2 linked regions of the Tamandua tetradactyla genome follow. The protein of the gene in region 2 purifies or fractionates together with the protein of the main gene of each other region. This does not show direct contact. Links are inferred from orthologs where the notes say so. Each region holds a gene or a part of one and is shown on either strand. Other genes may lie near its edges.

Region 1 (10,844 bases), on a different chromosome or scaffold from region 2:
TTGTTTCTCAATAGATTTTATATGTGATCTCTTTTGCTATATATAAGTTTTCTTTCAAAGTTTCCAGGTTCTATCTGAAAGGCCTCCCCCCACCAGTAGACTGTACACACCTTCCCAGCTTTCCTTACAAGACTTTTCCTGATCTGCAATTTATTTTTATGATTAAGACATGGTAAAATTTTGTTTTCTTACAGATGAATAGCCAAATGTAGCACATGACATTAAATCATCCTTTGCCTACTGAATTGAATTACCACATGAGACATATATATACTAGATTTATCTCTGGATTCTCTAGTCTGTTCCACTGATCCATTTGCCTCTTCCTTTGTGAATACCATATTTATTTGAATCATCGTGGTTTTACTCAAATCCAGTATTGCTTATCCATAATTCCTAACTCCAAAAGTAATAAAAACTAAAAATTTTTGTAAATTTGTGGCACAACACCACTTAGTCTTCATAACTACCATCTGGTATGAATACTGATATACATTTCTCTGCAGAAATATTAATATGTTTGATTACAAGGTGCCCCTCCTGACCTCTGGTCTGGGGTACTGCACATACACTGTACTACCTTCCTAAAATCCACAGAATTCCTAATCCCAACCACATCTAGCCCCAAGTGGCTCAGATAAGGGACTGTGGCCTTCTATTTTCATGTGCACATCTATTTTCAGTAGCGCCAGCCACTACTATATTACTTCTTTTTATCCTAACAACAGCCCTGTGAGGTAAGGATTAGCCCCCCTTAAAAGTAAGGAAAATGAGGTTCAGAGAGATAAGATTCACCCAAGGCCACACAGTTATAAATGAACAGACCTAGGATTCAAATTTATATCTGCCTGACTCCAAATCGTATATTTAACCACTGTAATTGAAAAGAATGTATCTGACTGCACTTGCATATGGTAGTTGCTCAACACAAAGGAGTTATTGTTACATTAGAGACAAGCGGGAAGGTTGGACAGATTTCTGCCCACCTGAGACTTTGACAAATGTCCTGGGCTGACCTAAGGGAACAAAGAATCAAGGAGTTGCACTGTGCCTTTGGCAGCAACGGCGGCACCTATCAAGCCCAAATTATGCGGACCCTTCTGTGGGGAGATCATTACAGACACCGCCCCTGCTCCTTGGTAACCACACGCAACCAAGAGGCTCTGATCAAAGATGTGGACATGTTGGAGTAAATCCAACAGGACCTGGAGCATGCAACTCAGGGGCTGGAGAAATACAACACAAAGAACACTGTGGCCCAGATCAAGGAGGAGTTTGACAAGTATAACCTCAGTGGCACTGCATCATGGGGGGGAATCTTCGGTAGTCATGTGACACATGAAACCAAGCACTTCATCTACTTCTACCTCGGCCAAGTGGCCATTCTTCTGTTTAAGCTTGGTCAAAGCATGGCCTGTGCCACCCACCCAAGGATCCATACAAAACAAAGACAGTAGCCCAAAGTCCAAATGCCAGAGACTGAAATTCTCAGCCTTCTAAGAGAAGACCTTGATCTCTAGAACTTCTTGTGTTTTTCTGTATGGGGCCTTCTCTGTATTAGTTTGTTGTGGTTATAAAACAATTAGCAAAACAGCTTATGCATGTTACTTACTTTCTATTCCATACTTCTCCCTGCCCTATGTTTTTTTATTTCAAAATCTGTTCCTTTTAAACAAAATAAATCTATTGGAGATGGGGGAGGAGAACCAAAGAACATGACAATGTCCAAGAAGGGACAAGTAGACATTCAATATAGAGTAGCTATCCTCATCCTCATGGTATTTCTGAGATACCAGTGTTGTTCCTTTTATTTTTATTGTGGTAATGTACATATATGACATTTTCCATTTTAAGCATACAATTCAGAGGTGTTGATTACATTCACACTGTTGTGTGACCATCACCACCATCTAGAGATACTGCTTCTTAATATTTTCAAAAGTTCATCTCTCCCTCTTTGTCCATCTACCTCTTACTCATCCTTCTTATCTCAAATACCATTTTCTCAGGAAGTCTTCTCTGAACCCCCAACCTAGGTTAGTCCCTGTTTTCTGCTCCCAGGGCTCCTGCCCTAACACCCAGCACTTCTTCATTCTCTATTTTTCTCAACTCCCCTGACAGATCCAGGAAGACAGAGACCATGCCTTTTCTCACTTTTGTAACCCCCAAGGGCTCTGTATAGTTACCGAACAGAGCAAAGGATTGAGTTCAAAAATTTTTGCTCAATGAGTGACTGAATGACTGCCAATAACACAAGGTAGTCAGTCCTATAGAAAATTCAGCAGAACTTGTGCTAATACAGAAGAAATACTGAACCAGAAGGCATCCTGCAGGTCAGTGAGTCCATCTTCCATTTTACAGACGTGAAAAATTGAAAGGACCATAGAGTTGGTGGGAACTCAGCCAGGGTATACAGACCAAGAACCAGAGACCCCTAGTCCCCAGGCCCACATATCTACAGCAAAGTAGCCTCAGATCTTCAAACACATTATAGAACATCACCTTATTAGAGGACTTATGCCACAGAAAAGCTCTTTATAAAATGTCTCCTTGTTACTGTCTGAAGCTTAAATGAAAACAAATATTTAAGTTATAAAATCATAGTTCAGTGATTTTATATGATGTATCAATTTTCAAAAGATGTAATTATAATGAAATACACCCCTAGGAATCAGAAGACAATTCAGTATCAGGGGAGAGAGGTTCAGATCCAGTATAGCAAACCTCAAGTCACAAACCCTTGAGCTTTGGGTCACAGCATCTAGACCAGTTGGGATTGGTTGACTTTGAATTCTCGTCTTCTAAGCCTCAATTTCTAACATCCTCTGATTATAATTAGTTAAACCTCTTCAATGAAAAAGGAACAAAGAATAATGCCAGTGACAGAAGGCGTATTTTAGAGTAGACTCTAGTCCCAACCCCAGTTCTCCCACAACTCAGTTCAAGACCTGGGATAAGTTGCAAAACATCCATGAACCAATGTCCTCATGTGTAAAATGGGGGTAGTAACACCTGCCTCTCTTGTAGAATAGATACAGCAGCTGACAAATTGTAGGGCTGCAATAAACGACAGCTTGCTTCCCTTCCCCTATTCCCTGGCCTTGGTGTTTTGCTTCTGCTGAAGGTTACTATTATGCCAAAAGAAAGCCAGGTAAGCTTTTCTCAAGAGATAGAGCTACCCAAAGAAGAGCGGGCCCCCAACACATACCTTCTCAGCCATTCCCTCTTCTCCTCCAATGAAGAAGTCTGTTTTACGTCGTAGGAAGCTGAAGAAGGTATTGACAAGCTGAAAGACAGAAGACTGAATTTGTGGGGCATGTCATATTGGGAATCCTCCACTGCACAAGAACCAACTTCCTAAGTTCAAGAGAACTTGGGACTTAACTATTCTCACCTGAGTCTTCCACAGGCCTCCTTAGTCACTCCTGCCAGGAAGCCAAACCTAACCTTAGCCAAACCACTTGGAAAGTGGATTTCTCATATCTTGTGTATATACGTGCTCATGGTTCCATACTTCTTGTGGTGTTAGAAGTAGCCTGAGGATGTAGAACATTCAAACCTCTGCACCCAGGGCTTAAAATACTCTTAAAAGGAAAAAAAGCTATCCAGAGTGGCACTGGTTGAGCTAGCAGGGCAGCCAGAAAGAGGGGAGGAAAGGAAGCCACCTTAAAGAAGGGCAAGACCAAATAACTCTGGCTAAGGTACCATTGTAGCCAAGTGGTTAAGAGCATGTGTTTGAGTGTCAAACTGATTATTTATTAGCTGTGAACTTGGGGAAGTGTCTTAACTCTGTAAAGCAGGAATAGTAGCAAGATCTATTTCAAAGGACCCTGTGAAAATCAAACAAGGTAATGGAGGGAAGGCCCTTTGCAGTGTTCAGCACAGAACAACAGGCCACTACCAGAGCATGGACTCCTCGCAAGCCGGAGTCAGGTGCCATAGCTTATTCTCACTCCTTCCCCAATGCCTGGCACATGCAGCTCAGAGTCCATGCTCAGTACAGTTCTTGATTAATGAATAGAGCTAGTAGTGACCTAATGTTAGCATATCCAAGTGCTATTATTTGCCCATATAGTTCTAAATCTGATGCTAGAATTTATCTCAACGATACAATTCCTGCTTCTGGATACTTTTCCAATCCACTGAAAACTGAACTCAATCCTAAATCTCATTTTGTCTCAAAGATTTAGGGGAAGGTAGAGGGCAGAAAGACATTTTACACTTGCAAATTAGTTATACCCTCTCTACTTCCCAGGGCTCGGGAACCCTTGCACACCATGGACACCTGAGGGAAATAATTGAAATGGACAGCACAGTGAAAACCTGCGCACAATGATAAGCAGAATAAGCAAAGGATTGTGAAAAGCACACTGGCCTAAGGAGTTTGGTCCAGGCTAGGTCAGAGCCGAAGGGATGATCTCAGCCAAGTCCTCACCCCTCTCTGGGCCTTAGTTTCATAAACAGAATGACTGCTCTGGACTGATCTTGACAGGCTTTCCTATTTCTCACTTTCTGTTTCTGTTTCAAAACACAAACTCCAAAATCTACACTACGTGCCCTTAAAGTTCATGGACTGATCACTCAGCATGAATCATGCTTTTGGAAAAGCACTTTGCTATCTCCATCGGGGACAAGGAGGTTTCTGCTCAAGTCTGTATCCCCAAGACCCAGCCCAGGGAGTGTCTGGCACACTTCAATCACTCAACAAATGCTGGCTGAACTAACAAGCCTGATCACTGAAAACTCTCCACTGTCCTTCCTCAAGATACCACTTCTCTACAATGATTCAGGAAAACAGGGATTCATAGAGCCCCTTCTCAGAAATAAGGAAACTGATGCTTGAGGAGGGGTGGAACGGTCCCAAGCTGGTGGGTGGTGGAAACCAATTGTGAGCACAGGCCTCCTATTCTCCCATTCAAGACCTTTTTAAAAAGGCCACGTGCTAACACACCCTCCACCCCCAACAAACACCCCACAGACTCTAGTCCGCTCACTGCAAATCTTGGTAGATGCAAATCACAATGCCTAACAAAGTTTATCCTAAGGAATGCTCTTCGGGGGCGGCCATCAATGGGAGCACCGGACTGGAACCATGTGGGAAATCAAAAGGGAAAACCCAAGACTCTGGGTATGGGTTTCAACGGGCACAATGAAAACAGAATAAGTAAAGTATTGTGAAAAGCACACTGGCCTAAGGAGCTTGGTTCAGGCTAGGTCAGAGCCTAAAGGATGATCTCAGGTAAGTCCCCACCCCTCTCTGGGCCTCGGTTTCATAAACTGAATGATTTGTTCTGGACGCCGAAGTGGCAGCGATAGGAGCGAGAAAGGCGCCCGGGGGCCGGAACTGATATGAAAAGACAGGGACACGCCGGCTGAGAGTCCAGACCGGAAGCTGGAGCGCGGGGAGAAAGTGGGGGACTCGCGGAAGCCCGCGAGCCCCAGGGGTGGATCTCGGTCCTCGAAGGCAAAGAAGGGAAGAGGGAGCGTGATAAGAGCCGCCCGGAGAGGCAGGCCACGCTGAAGCCGGCTGGGCCGACGCCGCGCGGGGCCGTTACCTCCTGCACGCCGCCCTCGTGCTGCTGAGCCATGGCCAGCAACATGCCGTCGAACCGTTCCTCTTCCTGGTCCCCACCCATCGCGCCGGCCTCTATCCGTTCCCCGAACTCCGCACTCGCGCCCCAAGCGCTCCTCGCTCCTTTGGTCGCGTCGGGCCAACGGCTCGCGTCCTTCGCTTTCCGCAGCGGAGCCGGAAACACGCACGTGAGCCCGCGGCCCGAGCCCGCCTTCTTCTCTTCCTCTCCCGCCTCTGGCCCAGGCGGTGGCCATTGGCCGCGCGGCAAACATCCCGTTTCACAGTCCATTGGCCGTGGATTGCTCAGCCAATCAACGAGGCGTCCATGAAGCGGTGGGCGGAGCCGAAGGCCTAGGAGTTTGGCGTCAGTTGCTATGGTCACCAAATGCTTTGGAGCCTTCCAGAAAGCACAGGGCTCAAATCTGGCGGGATTGGAAATTGGAAAGGAAGAAACTTTGCTTTTCTGTTTTGTAGAACGGTGGAGCTGAAAATACACTTAGTCATCTTTTCCAATACTTACAGGAGGCAACTGAGGCCCAGAACGTAGAAGGGTCTTACCCGAAGGACCGCCCCACCCCCACCCCTCACAGTCACCATCACAGACTCAACGAGAACCGGCTTCTTGCCATTCAAACTCTGCAGCTACACAGGCCCCAGGCTTGAAGAGCCCTCTATGCTTGGTTTACTACTCCGCTGTCGCAGTCTTGAAATTCTTAATAATTTTTGAACAATGAGCCTCATATTTTCATTTCACACTAGGCGGCACTGATAGTGTAACTTTCCCTGTTCTCAGCCTTCACTCTGTCAATGTGGGAACAGATCCTGGCCATCTAAGGTGGCTCTCTCTACTCTATTTAAACAATGAATTTTATCATCTTAGTGTTTTTAGGGACTCTACACTATGCAGTTTTCCCTTTTGTATCTCCTGCATCACAAATTTCTTCCTTCTGGATCATTCCTATCTACTTACAAATATGGTATAATAGTAATTAAAAAACAAAATCCATGAGTTCACTTTTCTCCTCCTGCTCCGATTTTTAGTGCTCATTCTATAGCACAATTCTATGCTTGTTTCTCCACTTTCCACCTCTCATCTTGCCTCAACTTATTCTAATTGGTCTTTTCTTAAACAGCTCTGATCAAATTACAATGACCTACATATTACCAAAGCCAATGGACCGCTGTTATCTTATGCAACTTTTCAGCTGCAACTGCTGCAGTTGACCCCTTCTTCCTTCTGGAAACACTTTTTTTCTTTAGGCTTCTGTGTCACCATTTAACTGGTTTTCTTCCCAACTTATTAACATTTCTCAGTGTCCTGTGCGTCACAGACTTGTAAAATGTTGGAGGTTCTATCCCCTGCTTTTTCCTCTTTTCCTCTCTAGCCACACTCTCTCCTTAGGTGATCTCATTGACTCCAGTGGTTGTCCTGATGATGTCCAAATCGATATCTGTGGCCCTGACCTTTCCTGAGCTCCAGGCTCATCTATCTAACTGCCTCCTGGACAGCTCCACTTAAATAGTAGACATCTGAAAAGTAACATGGCGGACTTGGAACACCCCCTCCCCAACTACTTCCTCCCAAAGTCTTCCTGATTGAGTTAAATGGCTCTTTCAAACTCCCATTTGCCAAAGCCAAAATCTCCATTCATTCACACATTTGTCCAAGCCCAATTCTAGTTTCATCTAATCCATTAGTAAATTCTGTCAGCTCTCCCTCCAAAATATATCCTGATTCTGATCCCTTTTGATCATCTATGCTGCTACCACTCCAGTCGTTGCTTTGACAACCACTCCTACAGTTTCCTAACTGGGCTCCTTACTTCCTTTCTTGTCCTTTTATAGTCCACTCTCCACCCAGTAGCCAGATCAATCCTTCTAAAATGTAAGCCAGATTTTGTTACTTCCTTCTTAAAACCAGCCCTTTGGTGGAACTGCCATTGCATTCAGGATAAATTCCAAACTCCCAACTGTGGCCTCATCAGGGACTTGGCCACCTCTCCAGTCTTATTACATCCTGCTTCCTTCTTCATTCACCCGGCTCCCTCTTCACTGGCTTCCTTCACTTCTTCTAATTCCTTGCCCTAGGTTCTAGACCTTTTCTGGCCAACTCCTTTTCATTCATCAGGTCTCAGCCCAAGTGCCACTTCATCTATGAGGCCTTTACTGACCATTATGTACAGATTAAATCTTTATAGCTTTTACTTTCAAAATGTCCTCTGCTATGTGGCCTCTCTCTCCAGCCAACACAACAAGCAAACTCACTGCCCTCCCTCTGTCTATGTGGGACATGACTCCCAGGGATGTGGACCTTCCTGGCAACGTGGGACAGAAATCCTAGAATGAGCTGAGACTCAGCATCAAGGGATTGAGAAAACCTTCTCAACCAAAAGGGGGAAAGAGAGAAATGAGACAAAATTAAGTGTCAATGGCTGAGAGATTCCAAACAGAGTTGAGAGGTTATCCTGGAGGTTATTCTTACGCATTAAATAGATGTCACCTTGTTAGTCAAGAGGTAATGGAGAGGCTGGAGGGAACTGCCTGAAAATGCAGAGCTGTGTTCCAGTAGCTATGTTTCTTGACGATGATTGTATAATGATATAGCTTTCACAAAGTGACTGTGTAATTGTGAAAACCTTGTGTCTGATGCTCCTTTTATCTACCTTATCAACAGACAAGTAAAGCATATGGAATAAAAATAATTAGGGAGAACAGATGTTAAAATAAATTTAGTAACTTGAAATGCTAGTGATCAATGAAAGGGAGGGATAAGGGGTATGATATGTATGAATTTTTTTCTGTTGTCTTTTTATTTCTTTTTCTGTATTGATGCAGATGTTCTAAGAAATGATCATGATGATGAATATGCAACTATGTGATGATATTGTGAATTACTGATTATATATGTAGAACGGAATGATCATATGTTAAGAATGTTTGTTTTTTGTTATATATATTTTTTAAAGAATGTTTTTGTTTGTTAGGTGTTATATTTTTTAAAAAAAATTAATTTAAAAAGGGGGAAAAATGTCCTCTGCTTGTCCTTTGTAATTACTTATTATAATTTGAAATTTATGATCAAGAAATTGTGGTTCTACACCAAGATCCAGTAATCTTCTCTTGCTGGAATATAAGCTCTATGAAAGCACGTGTCTGATTTTTCACTATATTCTGAGCATTCATCTCAGAGCCTCAAACATTGTAAAAACCTCAATAAATACCTGGGAAATGAACAAATGGTCTTTGCCTGATACCTTTGAATCTCATTATAAATTTATCAATAAATATTGGTAGAATTTACTGACTTCTCACTGTGTCCAGTACTTGACTGAGCACTTTAAAAATATTATTTGACTTAACCTATACAGTGTTCCTATGATGTAAATGCTGATATCCCCATTTGGGGAGTGAGAAAACAGGGACAGAGAAGTGAAGTCACATGCTGAAGTTTGCACAGCTGGAAGGGCAGAGGCAGGATTCAAACCCAAGCAATCTTGCCCAACAGCCCACACACTTACCCACTTCATCTTAGAATTCTACCTCCCTGAATTGACATTCTGATTTTGTAAATCAGTCCTGGATGTTTGTTTGATGAGAAACCAAGACCTGAAATTAGACCCTGGTAAGTTCACCGAGATAATAAATATTGTCCAGGAAGGCCCCTTGGTGACTAGTCAGCCTCCCCTAATGCCTTCTGACCCCATCCACATTTGGTAATGAGTGACGGCACTATGTGCTAAGTGCTTCATTAGATGTGGACTAGGTGACCTTGGAACTCAGGGAGGGAGCAATTTATTCTACTGAAGAGGTGGAGAGGGAAAGACCAGAAGGCTGTGCTTAAGTGGTAACATTGGAGCTAGACCAGGAGCTTACCAAGCAAACAGGCATCCCAGGCAGTGGGTGACCATGAGCAAAAGCTTTGAGGCATGGATGTGTATGACACCTCCAGGAAATGAAAAGGTGCCCAGTGCTGGCTTGCATACTCCCAATCCTTAACCCCGCTGACTGCAATCTGGGATTTTCCAGCTGCCCCCTGGACCAGTCCAAGACTTCTGCACACAAGAGTAACCGTATGCACCCTGGTCATGGGATTGTAAAGCAATTTCAAATACATTATCTCATTGGATGCTCTTTAATCTTACAGTTAATGTCCCGTCCAGTACCTGGCACATGGTAGATGATCAAAGTGACAGCTATTATTATTGTTAATGGCAACGATTGAGGTTTCTACTTGAATAGTAGCATTGGCCTCCCATTGCTGCCTGAAAATTAACTGAGATAACCGTTGTCAAGTACTTTGTAAACTGTGAAGTGCTATACAGATGGGAGCCTATCCTTTCTAGTTCAAGCTCTGCCCACTCCATTTTAGCATTCACTTCCACCACTGATGTGGATGTCCTGGCTCCCCTATTAGACTTGAAGCTACTAAAAGCAGGTCTGTGTCTCTAGATCTTAGATTTCCTGAAGGTTGATGCCTAAACTAACTACCACACTATATAACCATGAAAATCAGAAAATTAACATTAAATATTTTACCATCTAATCTCAGACCCCATTTAAGTTTCACCAAATGTTCCAGTGAAATTTGTAGTAGTGAAAGGACTCAGTCTAAAGTCTCTCCTGACATTTACTGTCATGTCTCTTTAGTCTGTCAGTCTGGAACAGTTCCTTGACCTTTCCTTGCCTTTCACAACCTTGAAACTTTGAAGAGTTGTAGTTATTTTGTGGCATGTCACCCAAGTTGAGTTTGTCTGACGTTTCCTTGTGATGAGACTCAGGCTATGAACCTTTATCAGAAATATCACAGAAGTGATGCTGTATTCTTGGTACATCCTATCAGGTAGTGCACAATTTCCATTTGTCCTGTAGTTTATTTTGGCCACTTGATTAAGGTGGTATCTGCTAGGTTATCCTTCCCCCTTTGTGATGAATGAGTATTCTAAAACCCTCCTCATACTTTCCATGTATGGTTTGAAACTATTATGTATCCCAGAAAAGCCATGGTCTTCTAATCCATTCTTGTGGCTGCAGACCTATTGTTGGGTGGGGTCTTTTGAGTAGGTTGTTTCCATGGAGATATGACCCACTCAATCCAAGATGGGTCTTAATCTTTTTTTTTTTTTTTTTTTTTTTTTTTTTTTAAAGACAGAGAAGGAAGGAAGGATGGAAGGAAGGAAGGGAGGAAGAAAGGGAAACATCTTTAAACATTTTCTTATTTTATTATATTTTGTTTGTTTGTTTGTTTTTTACATGGGCTGGGGCCGGGAATCGA
Region 2 (10,844 bases):
GGTCAGGCTGAAGGTAAGAAGAACGTGAAGGCAAGCTGGGGCTCTGTAGGAAGATGGGGACTGAGTGGAGGGCCTGCGGACCTCAGGGCCGGGCCCCATCTTACATGTCCACGTCGTCATAGTCATCATCAGACTCCGAGAGGTGCCTCCTGCAAAGTGACAGGCCTGAGCCTTAGGTGGCAATCACAGATGTCCCCACCCCTCTCCTCCCCTACCCCCTGGGGGGGGTGGCGCTGACCTGGGGCTCATGCTCTTCACATCCCCTGGGGGCTGGAAGGGAGCCTGCTGGACAGAGGAAGGGTCAGCAGTGCTCTGGGGGGCAGGGGGTGGGGTGTCTGGGGAGAGCAGGGGAGGCATCTCACGGTGTTGCTTGGGGATCTGGATTCCACTTCTCTGAGTTTCCTGAACTCCATGTGCCGCCCTGAGAGGTAGGGGAGAGGTAACACACAGTTGGGGAGGGTCTGCAAAGATGGATTTGGGAATAGAACAAATAGAATTTGGGGGGCTTGGAATCATGGTCTTAGGGATTAGGACTGTCTCTTGAAGCGGCCTTGGTTTAGAAGAGTTTCATTTGGAGGTCAAGGTTTAGGGTCAGGGAAGTGGGAGCTCACAGTAGTTATAGAGGGTTTTCAGAATCTATTTGGGTACCGGGCGTGGGGGGAGGTTGTGACGGGATTTGGGTCAGGTGGTGCTGGGGGTCTCTAATGGGGTCAAATGGCAATGGGGATTTCTAATGGGTCAGGTGGTGATGGGGTTCTGTGCAGGTCTGTTGGGGCTGATGGGGACTCTGGGGCTCCGTTTAGGAGTCAGGGGATGATGGGGTCTCTGAAGGTCTTTTGGGGAGTGATGGGGGACTCTGGAGTCTATTATGAGGTTGGGTGGTGATGGGTGTGTCTGGCAGTCTGATGGGGGTGTTGAGGGTCTCGGATATGTTAGAGGTTCAGGTGTCCCCATGCTTAGTCTCTACTCACGGATGCAGTCTGCATCAGGGACCCCCAAAGAGCTGGACCGATGGGTGGATCTGATCCGCCGAGGTACGGCCGGGGGTATCTGGGCAGAGGGGCAGCCACATCAGGGCTCCCAGCCCAAAGTGGCCCCCCCACGCCCCTGTGGGCCCAACTTCTAGCCCTCTTCTCTCCTGTAACCCTCTGTTTGCCCAGCTCTGTGCCAGGCATCCCGTCTTCCCTTTTTTTTTTTTTTTTTTTTTGCCTCTTAAGAGAAGCAGCAGGAGGTGCTCCAGGCAGAGGGAACAGCCCAGCAACAGCTAGGAGATTCCAATGCTTTGGTCAGCCAGAGCTCCTCACCTCAGGCTCCTCATCCTCAACCTCGCCAACCGGGGGTCCCTTCCCTGGATTCTTCAGTTTGTCCAGAAGGTCTAGGATCAGGGCCCTGCTCAGCCCAGGCTGGGACACCAGCTGGTGCTGGGGAAGGGGAGGAGGGAGTCAGCAGTCGGGGACTGGGTGGAGGGAGAGGGTGGGATGTTTCTTGAGAACTAGTCTAAGGGAATCTGGTTAGGGGAAGGGGCCGATTGAAGAAGAGAGCAGGGAAGTCCAGGGAATTTTGAGACCTGTGGGGATCTGGAGTAGTTTTAAGGGCCTAGAAGAATTTAGGGTTCTTGGGGGGGGGGGCGTTGCTTAGAGAACTCCAGCGATATCTCAGAGTACATTGGGGTTCCCTTGGAATTGAGGGTCAGGGTTGGACGGGGTCTCTGGGGCCCGAGGTCCTCTTGAGTGGCTCTTGAGGCCCTCGGAAACTTGTGAGTTCTGGCAATTCAGGAGAGCTGGGGAAGGTCTAGTTTGGGGTACAAGTTGGGGGTTTTAGGGAGATCCTGGAAAATTCTTGGGGGACGGTGTGGTTAGGGACTTTAAAAGGCCACAGAGGCTCTGTGGAACTAAATTATCGTAGTTCTAGGGAGTTGTGGAAGGCCCCAGGGAATTCTGGGGTAACAAGAGGGTTGGGGGGATTTCTCTGAGAGGGAGGTTTACACTGAGCATCTTGGTGGCACCGGGCCGCTTCTTGGGGCTCTTAGTGAGGGTGACTTTGACAAAGTTGTGGAAGGCAGCTGACCTGGAACGGAAGAAGCCAGTTCTAGGGTTACTGAGACCTCCCCATCAGCCCCCCACCCAGGCTTTGCCCTCTCCCTACCCCCACCCCTCTCTGCTCACCATTTGCCCTTTTCCTTTAGCCGGGGGGGCTGGTAGCCACTCTTGGTCATGAGGAAGAGAACTCTAGAAGAGAAGGGAGAGAACATGGGGTTCAGAGCCCCACTTCAGGGTCAGACCTCATGGCTGGAGGGGTTCCCAGGCTCCCCAGGAGGTCTACAGCCCTGACGTTACCAGAGACCAAAGTGCGGGGCAGGGTGGGGAGGGAGGATGAGGCTCGGGTGTTGTCCCCGCAAAGATGCCACCCCTGGGGGCACATTTATCACATTTCAAACAGACGCAGAGGCAGAGGGAGACTCAGGATGGGGGTTCCTGGTGTGGAGGGCTGAACATAAGGTTTTCTGGGTTGGGGAATTCTTAAGGGTCTCATATGGGCTCTGAGTAAGGGGGTCCCCTAAAGAGAGATCTTGATGTGGGGAAGCAAGCTGGGGAGTCCACAGGATCAGGGCCGGGCGCATCTCTGGGGCCCGGAGTCCTACCGGAGAGGGTGCACGTCAAACAGCGGTGGCTGCAGCTCAGCCAGCTCGATGGCTGTGATGCCCAGGGACCAGATGTCACACAGCTCATTGTATCCTCCCTTCAGGGCCACGGCTGCCACTTCTGGAGCCATCCTGGGGGCAGAGACCCTTAGAGAGCCAAGGGTGGCATAGGGAGGGGGTGGCAAGAGTGGGGGACAGACTCCTGGGCATGGGGAGAAGGGGGAGGAGAGACACGGAGAGGAGTAGAGAGAGCCAGATGGAGAGAGAGACATAAGGATGGAGAGGGAGATGCAGAGACAGACTGAGAGACAGAGAGGGGAAAGGCAGAAAGAGACGGAGATGGGGAGACCCAGAGATCAAGATAAAAATGAGACAAACACACTTAACCATGTATCTCCAAAATAAAAAGAGACAAGCACAGAAACAGGCAGAAAGAGGCACCAACAGACGTGGGGAAATGAAAAACTCAAGACAGAGCCAAAGATGACAGGATGTCCCACAGAGAAAGGCCAGGGGGAAAGGAGCCAGGAAAGAACTCTCCAGAGAACTAGGTGTGGGGGGGGGGGGGAGCAGCTGCTCCCCCCACCCCCCAGGGGCCTGCCAGGGAGCCCTCACCAGTAGGGCGTCCCAATGAAGGAGAGGCGTCGAGCCAGTGTCGCCCCGATCTGGGCCGAGATTCCAAAGTCAGCTGGAGGCAGAGGGAGAGACAGTGAGCTGGGGTCCCCTGCCCTCCCCCCAGGCCCCCTGCCCCCCTCACCAGCCACACTCACCCAGTCTGACCTCCCCAGCATCATTGATGAGGATATTGGCTCCCTGGAGGCAAGAGAGGGGTGAGAGACTGGCAGGGACCCTCTCCCCAGGCTCCCCTACCCGACAGCTCAACTACACCAAGCTCCCATCCCCTGGGGTCCCCATGCCCCCAATACCACCCCTCTGCCCCAGACCACCTTGATGTCTCGGTGTATCTTCTTCTGTGAGTGCAAATAGGCCAGCCCCTGGGGAGGAGGGTTGACAGGGGAGCTATGAGTACGGTATGAGGGTGGGGTGGGGAGCAGGGCCCTGCACCCACCACCCCCGGTCCTCTCCTTACCTGGAGCACTTCCCGGCAGACATAGCCGATCTGGAGTTCTGAGAGGGAGCCGGTCACTGCAGAGGCACAGGTCACCCAAGGCACAGCGTTGGGTGGGAAGCCAGGAAACCTGGATCCAGGTGTCCCCCGGCTCCAACCCACACTGGTTTGGGGAGTGAGGCGAGACAGAGAGCTGTCTAGCCACAGAGAAGCAGGAACGTGGGGAAACAGAGGCCCGGGGGAGACAGAGGAGATGGGTGCCTGGGGCCCTAAACAGACAGAGACCCTGCCATTGTGGGAGAGAACATTCCAGTGGGGAAGGGAGATAGTACATGAGAGAACCGAGCAAAATAGACCATGAGATGTTACCAAGTGGTGAGAAGCAAAACAAAGTAGGAAAGGACAACAGGAAATAAGTGTGGGGAGGGGTATGAAATTTTAGCCAGGGTGGTCAGGGACGGCCCCTCTGAGAAGATGGTATTTGGGTAACATGAGTTGCCCCACTCTGAGGAGAGTGAGAAGAGCAGGTGCAGAGGCCGGAGGCGGGAGTGGGCTGGTGGGAAAGTGGCGAGGTGGGTGGGGAGGAAAGCGGGGGGAGGAAAGGTCGGTCAGCTGGAGGGGGCCGGGATAGACTTGGGGACCCCTCCCATGAGGTCTTTGGGTAACTCTTCAGAGTTAGGTGATTGCAGGATGAGGTGAGGCAGAGATGCAGAGATGGAGAGAGACAGACAGAGGAGCAGGACAGATCCCAACTGAAGCAGAGAGAAAAAGAGATGATGAGGACACGTGGGAAACAGACATATCTAGAAAGAGAGAGACACAGAAGGGTGGAGAAGGAGGAGAAACAGACAGACAGTGAGACAGAGAAAGGTAGTCAGAGACCAGATATGACAGGCAGGCTGTGTGAGCCACTTCCTGTATGGGGGCCTCAGTTTCCCCTCCCTGAAGACTTCTGACATTTGAAGTCTTGGGCTGGAGGGAGTCAGGCATCAGAAATCCAGAGAGGTGTTCAGAGACCCACTCCACCTTCAAATTCTCCAAGAGTAAAGGGCAGCGTGAGAGAGAGAGAGATGCAGAAATTCATTCACTCATTTAACGAGTCCTTAGGCATCATCTACTCTGAGCCAGAAATGCGGAAATATTCAACCACATGGACAGAAAACTGTCTTGCTTGACAAGAAAATGCAGACACAGAGATGGGGGTAGGTGGAGAGAGGGGATCTTTGGAGGCAGAAAGATTTGGGCTGGGCTGTCAGGTCCTGGAGGGCAGGGCCCAGCCCAGAGCAGGGGGCTCAGTGTATGAACTATGGTCCAAAAAACCTATCCCAGGCAGAAGCAAACAGAGGGAGGCAGGAGGAGACCGAAGGGGTAGCCTGGAGGTACAGAGGGGGCCTGGATTCCTTCTCCCTCCTCTCACCCTGGTAGATGTCCTGGAGAGAACCAGCCCCGCAGAACTCCATGCAGATCCAGAGCTTTTGCAGCCTGCAGTGGTTCAATGACAATAATAAAATGATAATGTCAGGAACACTATTTGCAGGAGAGCCTCTAGGTCACTGTCTGTCTTATGCTAGTTCAACCAGCACACTAAGGGAACAGCAGTCATCTCTCTATCTCCCGTTGCCCGGCAGAGTGAAATTGTTCTGTCTCCATTTTACAGATAGCAAAAATGAAGAAAAAGAGAAGTGTGCTTTCAGAGTGAGCTGGACTCGAATACAGATCTTCAGAGCTCCAAACCCAGGGCACCCTCTGTTGTCCCATGCTAACCTAGGAGACAGGCAGGCATCTCAGAGGTTGGGGAGGTAGGAAGGGGAAAAGGGGCCCAGGGTGCCCCATCTGAGGGACAGTGATCATTGTTGGGGTATCTGGTATATTCATTTTTGGGTCAAGGAATTGAGGAGTTCATATTAATGAAGGAGAAAGTGAAACTCAGGGACTAAAAGGCCAGAATGATGACAGATTAGTTTGAAGAGACTCGAGTTTCAGGTTTAGTTGAAACTATGATGGGATCGTTTTGGGGACCCCTGGTCAGAAATGGGAGTTCTGAATTGGGGGTCAGAACAGGGGGTACTTTGGTCAGAAAACAGGTCTTGGGACTAGATATCAGTAGGGGTGCAGCAGTTAGAAATGGGGGTTCAGGATTGATGGTTAGGTTCTGGTGCTTGGATCAGAAATGGTAGCTCATGTTAGGTGCCCCAGTCAGAAATGAGGGTTCTGGTTTGGGGGCTGGACTGGCTCCCTAGGCAGGGCCCAGGCCCCTCACCAGAGATAGCTCCCATGGTAGGCCACGATGTTGGCATGCCGGCAAGTTTTCAAGATGAGGATTTCCTTCTGAAGGGTTGAGACATCATCGTCTGCGAGGAGGGGGAGAGAAGCAGCAGCAGCTGGAGGATGGGGCAATGGGGGAGGCCATCCTGGTGTCCCAGGAGGTGGGGGGAGGGGAGGAGGAGGGAGCTCCTGGGTCCTCATCTCACCAGGCTCCATCTTCACCATTTTCAATGCCACCAGGTCCCTCGTCACCTTGTCTCGGGCCTTGTAAGGGGAAGTTGGAAGTCATTAAGGCCCGGCTGGCCTGAGTCCTTCCTCAGCATCCCTGAGCCAAGGCCAAGGACCCATGCATACCTTTCCTTTCCCAGGCCTCCTCCCAAAGGTCACTGCTTAGAAGGTGATAGAGAAGGGAGGTGGGGGGTGGGGGGTGAAGGGCTCCTCACCTTGAAGACTTCCCCGTAGGTGCCGCCCCCCAGCCGTTGCAGCAAGTCATAGTGGTCCCGGGGGTCCCTATTAAAGATATCAGGGTCCACGAGGTCCATCCCTGGGGGCCGGAGCTGGGCCTGTGCCCAGGGGCCAGCAGGGCCTCAGGGCTGGAGTGCTGGAACCTCCCTCCCTCCCTATACACCAGCCACCAGCCTTGCATAGGCAGGCTGCGGCCTCAGGCTGCGGCCTCCCCCCTCCCCACTCTCGCTTCCTGCCCCGATGCAGGGCGGTGCAACCGGCTCCACCCCCTGTCCCTTGGGCCTTGAAAGCTGTGAGGGGCAGCTTGCCTTGGGACCCAGGGGACCCTGATCCACCCCAGGCGCCAGGGCTGGATGTAACGAAATGCAAATGATCTTTATTGCGACCGGGGGTGGGGAGGGGGGGGGCTGCTTCAGCACCTCCTCCCCCTATTTTGGGTCAGGGCCATAGCTGAAGCTCTGCTGAATGCTTGAGGGTTTGGGCACAACTTGCAGGTGGCAGATCTGCACAGGCCATGCAATGTACATGCCTGTACATTGGGAAACATACATGCACTTACGTAGTACTCGCCTGTGCTGTTCATAGACCTGCAGACGTAGTACATTCCTGTTTACCTGTGTACACAAATGTGGATGTACCCAGAGCACACGCCTCCATATTCACGCACATGGCCGGGCACTCGCACCCGTAATACGCATTCTAAACATACTTGGGGGGCTCGCCTTCTGCCCCAAGACTGGAGCCCCGTGGATAATGAACACACACACACACACACACACACACACACACACCAGGCCCCGTGGAGAATGAACACACACACACACACCCCAGCCCCCACCAGCCCAACGGGGCTCTCCCCCTGGAGCTGGGGTGGAAGGTGAGGACAGGGTTCAGGACTTCAAACTGGGGTCGGTCTCAGGGTTCTGCCTCAAGTGCCCAGGCCTCACGCATGGGCGACCTCAAAGCGTACAGCCTTTGAGAGTTACCCCAGAGGGAGAGCATCAACGTATAATCCCACAGGGTTTTGTGAATTCACCGCCACGAGCAAAACGACGAGCTCGCAAACCATCAGAGTTCCGTCTCCTTCCGGGAGAAGTACTTGAGCACAGACGCACGCGCTCCGAGACCTGGAACGCGAGGCCCGGGAAAAGCCTAGCCCCGCCTTCCCGTCCACAGAGGGCGCCTGCGCACTAGGGTAGAGTAAGCTTTTTGTCATGCTACTGGTCCAAGCGCTGGAGGAGCGAATGCGCACGCGCCATAAACGCGTGCTGAGAAGAAGTCACGTGGTAGCTGAAAAGCGTGGCGACCGCTGCAACAATCCTGAGAGGGGGCGCGGTGAAACAACAAAACGTATTTCCGCTTCCGCAACCTCTTCCGCTTCCGGCCCTTGAGGACGCTGCACGGGTTCTGACTTGGGTTCAATTGCTGGTGTGGGAAACGGCGGTAATCATGGCGATGTTTGAACAGATGAGAGCGAACGTGGGCAAGTTGCTCAAGGGTATCGACAGGTCTGAGCATGGTCGGAGGGAGCGCTTCTGGCCAGGCGGGGGGGAGGAGAGGATTTTCCAGAGACATCGAGGGGTAGTCAGGGTGCCTGGCCGGTTCTGGGGTGGTGTCTCCCCGTCAGTTTAAGTGTCTGTGTATGTGTAAGAATTCATTCTGAAGGAGGATATTTCTAAGGAAATAGCGCTGCGAAGAACCTAGAGGCAAGAGAGAACCTTGTCTATGACTCATCTCCCCCAACTTGATTGCCTTCAGGTCTCCTCGCCTTGTTCCTCAGCCTTCCCTCTCTCAGCACCCCCAGCCTCCTGTCTCTTAGCTCCTCATTCTCAGTGTCTTTCTCAATGCCTCTTAGTCTCGCTCCTCTTTCTACCTCATGTTACTTATTCAACATATGTTCACAGAAATATGTTCTGTCAGTGGAGGGCGATACTAGGGATCCAGCGGTGACCAAGAGAGCCGCTCACCCTGGGTTCATGAAGTTCCTGGTCCAGAGGCGAGCCAGAACCACAGTAGAAAGTGATCGCTGGAAATGGACAGGACTCTGATGGGGAAGCGAAGGCCAGGTTGAGTCTGATGGCTCTGATGCGGGGTAATACAGACAGGAGTGAGGGCTGGAGTGGGAAAGCACAGGCAGAGGTAGAGGATGGGATGGGGAGAACTCAGGGGGCTGTGGGAATCTGAGGTAGAGGAGACATCTGACTCCGCCTGGGTCAGGCGAGGCTTTTTAAGGTGGTGAAGTCAAAGTTAAGACCTGGAAAATGAGTGGAAGTAAAGTAAATGAAGAGGGATAGGGAAAGACTAGAGCCAGATAAGAGTGGGAAGAATGATGTTCCAGGTGGAGGAAACATGTCAAAGACTCTGAGATGAGATGAGCTTAGTGATTTTAGGAGTTGAAAGACTTTTTTTTTTTAATATATGTTGTATGGCTGGGTCACACTTCGTTATTTTTCCATGTGAATATCCCATTATTGCAGCACCCTTTGTTGAATTTTTGTTTGCTTATTTTTTTGATTGTTTATTATGCTTGTTTTTGGAAAGTGCATGGGCCAGGAATCAAACCCGGGTCTCCCACATGTCAGGCGAAAATTACACCATTGAACTATCCTTGCACTCTCAAAAGCCATTCATTTATTACAGTTAGGCTAAAATGTGGAGTGAGAGTCAGAAGTGGTGAAAGATGGAACCAACTACATTGCAAGGGCCCAGATCATGGAGGGAAAACATGGGGACCATAGAATGACTTTATGTAGATGAACCTGGTCGTATCTGTGCTTTAGAAAAATCCCTCTGGCTGTTGTATGGAGAATGGAGTCAGGGTTGAATCTGGGGAAAGGTGTAAGACTAGGTAGGAAAGGATGGAGCTGGAGCAGAGTAAGTGGGATTCTGAGAAGGGAAGGAAAGGGTGGGTAATAGAGATGTTTGGGAGGCCAAACACACAGACTGCAGGGACTGATGGGCTGAGGGGGGGTGGCGATGGGGCATCCAGGGATCCGTTGGGATCTGGAGCATAGCAGAAAGTCTGAGCTAGATTTTACTAGAGGTTATAATGCTAATTCAACATTGGAGTGTGCCAGGTGCTCAGTGCCAGATTTAGAAGGAAGGACTAAAGGGCCCCATAAAGTGGCTTCAGCTCTGTCTCCTTATTACTCACCTATTTTCTTCCTCTTTTAGATACAATCCTGAGAATCTGGCCACTCTGGAGCGCTATGTAGAGACGCAGGCCAAGGAAAATGCTTATGATCTGGAAGCCAACCTAGCTGTCCTGAAGCTGTGAGTATCTGCCCCCACTGCCACTCCTGTGCCAGCAGAACGGTACCACCCCCAAAACAGGGTAGGGCTGAGAGGGTTAACCTGTAAGATATGGCTTTTCTTGGTTTGCAAGACTAGGAAGCTACAGAAGTTGGAGGGGGGTTGGTGGGGTGGGGGGGGTACTTATAAAACATTAATTGCAAAACACATTACAAGATAGTATGTAAAATAAATATACAGTTTAACAAATAAAAGCAAATACCCATGTAATCAATCATATTGCAAAATCAAGTGCTGCCAGTGCCCTCAGAGCCCATGTGCTCTATACCAGCCAAACCCCTACCCCGATTTTGGTAACTACTCACATGGCCTGGTTTTCTGTGATAGTTGACTGCATATGCATGTATCCTGATCAATTTAGCTTAGTTTTCCCTGCTTTGAACTTAACATAAATAGAATTCTGCAGCATGATGTGTCTGCCATCTTCTGCTCAAAACTGGGATTGTGAGAACCATCCTTTTTTTGTGTGTGTGGTGTATGTGACTGCTGTTTGTTAATTATCATTGCTGGATAATACTCCACTGTGTGACTCTGTCCTGCTTATCTGTTCTCTTATTGATGGACATTTCAGTTCTTCCCTCTTGGGAGCTTTCTTGACATACTACCAGCTGTGTAATTGTTTTTTTAATTGATAAATCTTCACACACACATGGTTATTCATGGTATACAATCAGTTGCTTACAATATCATCACGTAGTTGTGTATTCATCACCATGATCATTTTCAGAACATTTGTATCACTCCAGAAAAAGAAATTGGAAAAAAGACCTCCCTCTCATTAACCACCAATATTTCCATCTACTCACTTTATTTTACTCCTTATCTGCCATTAATGCATATTTTTTTTACTCATCTGTTCATACCCTGGATTAAAGAAGCATCAGACACGAGATTTACACAGTCACAGTCACATTGTTAATCTTACATCTTTATACAGTTGCCTTGGAGAATTGAGGCTACTAGAACACAGCTCAACAGTTTCAGTTACTTCCCTCCAGCCACTCCAATATACCATAAACTAAAAAGGGATATCTGTCTAATGCATAAGAATAACCTCCAGGTAATCTCTTGATTCTGTTTGCACTCTCTCAG

The links.
Region 1: the proteins of MAP4K1 (region 2) and NUDC purify together in Homo sapiens (affinity purification with mass spectrometry; 3 studies listed by BioGRID and IntAct, with this or other methods). This does not show direct contact. The link is inferred for Tamandua tetradactyla from reciprocal best matches to the Homo sapiens genes MAP4K1 and NUDC.

What each region holds. Positions count from the first base shown.
Region 1 is NC_135328.1:199,316,008-199,326,851, forward strand, and holds the start of NUDC (nuclear migration protein nudC), read right to left. Parts: upstream 5,815-10,844; 5' UTR 5,637-5,814; coding exon 5,556-5,636; intron 3,579-5,555; exon of another isoform or gene 3,395-3,578; intron 3,287-3,394; coding exon 3,209-3,286; intron 1,458-3,208; exon of another isoform or gene 1,002-1,457; intron 1-1,001. UniProt on the Homo sapiens protein: Plays a role in neurogenesis and neuronal migration. Necessary for correct formation of mitotic spindles and chromosome separation during mitosis. Necessary for cytokinesis and cell proliferation.
Region 2 is NC_135342.1:25,378,810-25,389,653, reverse strand, and holds the start of MAP4K1 (mitogen-activated protein kinase kinase kinase kinase 1), read right to left. Parts: upstream 7,642-10,844; 5' UTR 7,510-7,641; coding exon 7,427-7,509; intron 6,653-7,426; exon of another isoform or gene 6,518-6,652; coding exon of another isoform or gene 6,486-6,517; coding exon 6,419-6,485; intron 6,240-6,418; coding exon 6,182-6,239; intron 6,062-6,181; coding exon 5,971-6,061; intron 5,193-5,970; coding exon 5,128-5,192; intron 3,788-5,127; coding exon 3,732-3,787; intron 3,637-3,731; coding exon 3,589-3,636; intron 3,455-3,588; coding exon 3,412-3,454; intron 3,330-3,411; coding exon 3,257-3,329; intron 2,789-3,256; coding exon of another isoform or gene 2,774-2,788; coding exon 2,642-2,773; intron 2,229-2,641; coding exon 2,166-2,228; intron 2,068-2,165; coding exon 1,986-2,067; intron 1,422-1,985; coding exon 1,305-1,421; intron 1,051-1,304; coding exon 972-1,050; intron 422-971; coding exon 363-421; intron 283-362; coding exon 239-282; intron 150-238; coding exon 105-149; intron 1-104. Other genes in the region: EIF3K (eukaryotic translation initiation factor 3 subunit K), read left to right, coding at 7,890-7,948, 9,615-9,713. UniProt on the Homo sapiens protein: Serine/threonine-protein kinase, which plays a role in the response to environmental stress. Appears to act upstream of the JUN N-terminal pathway.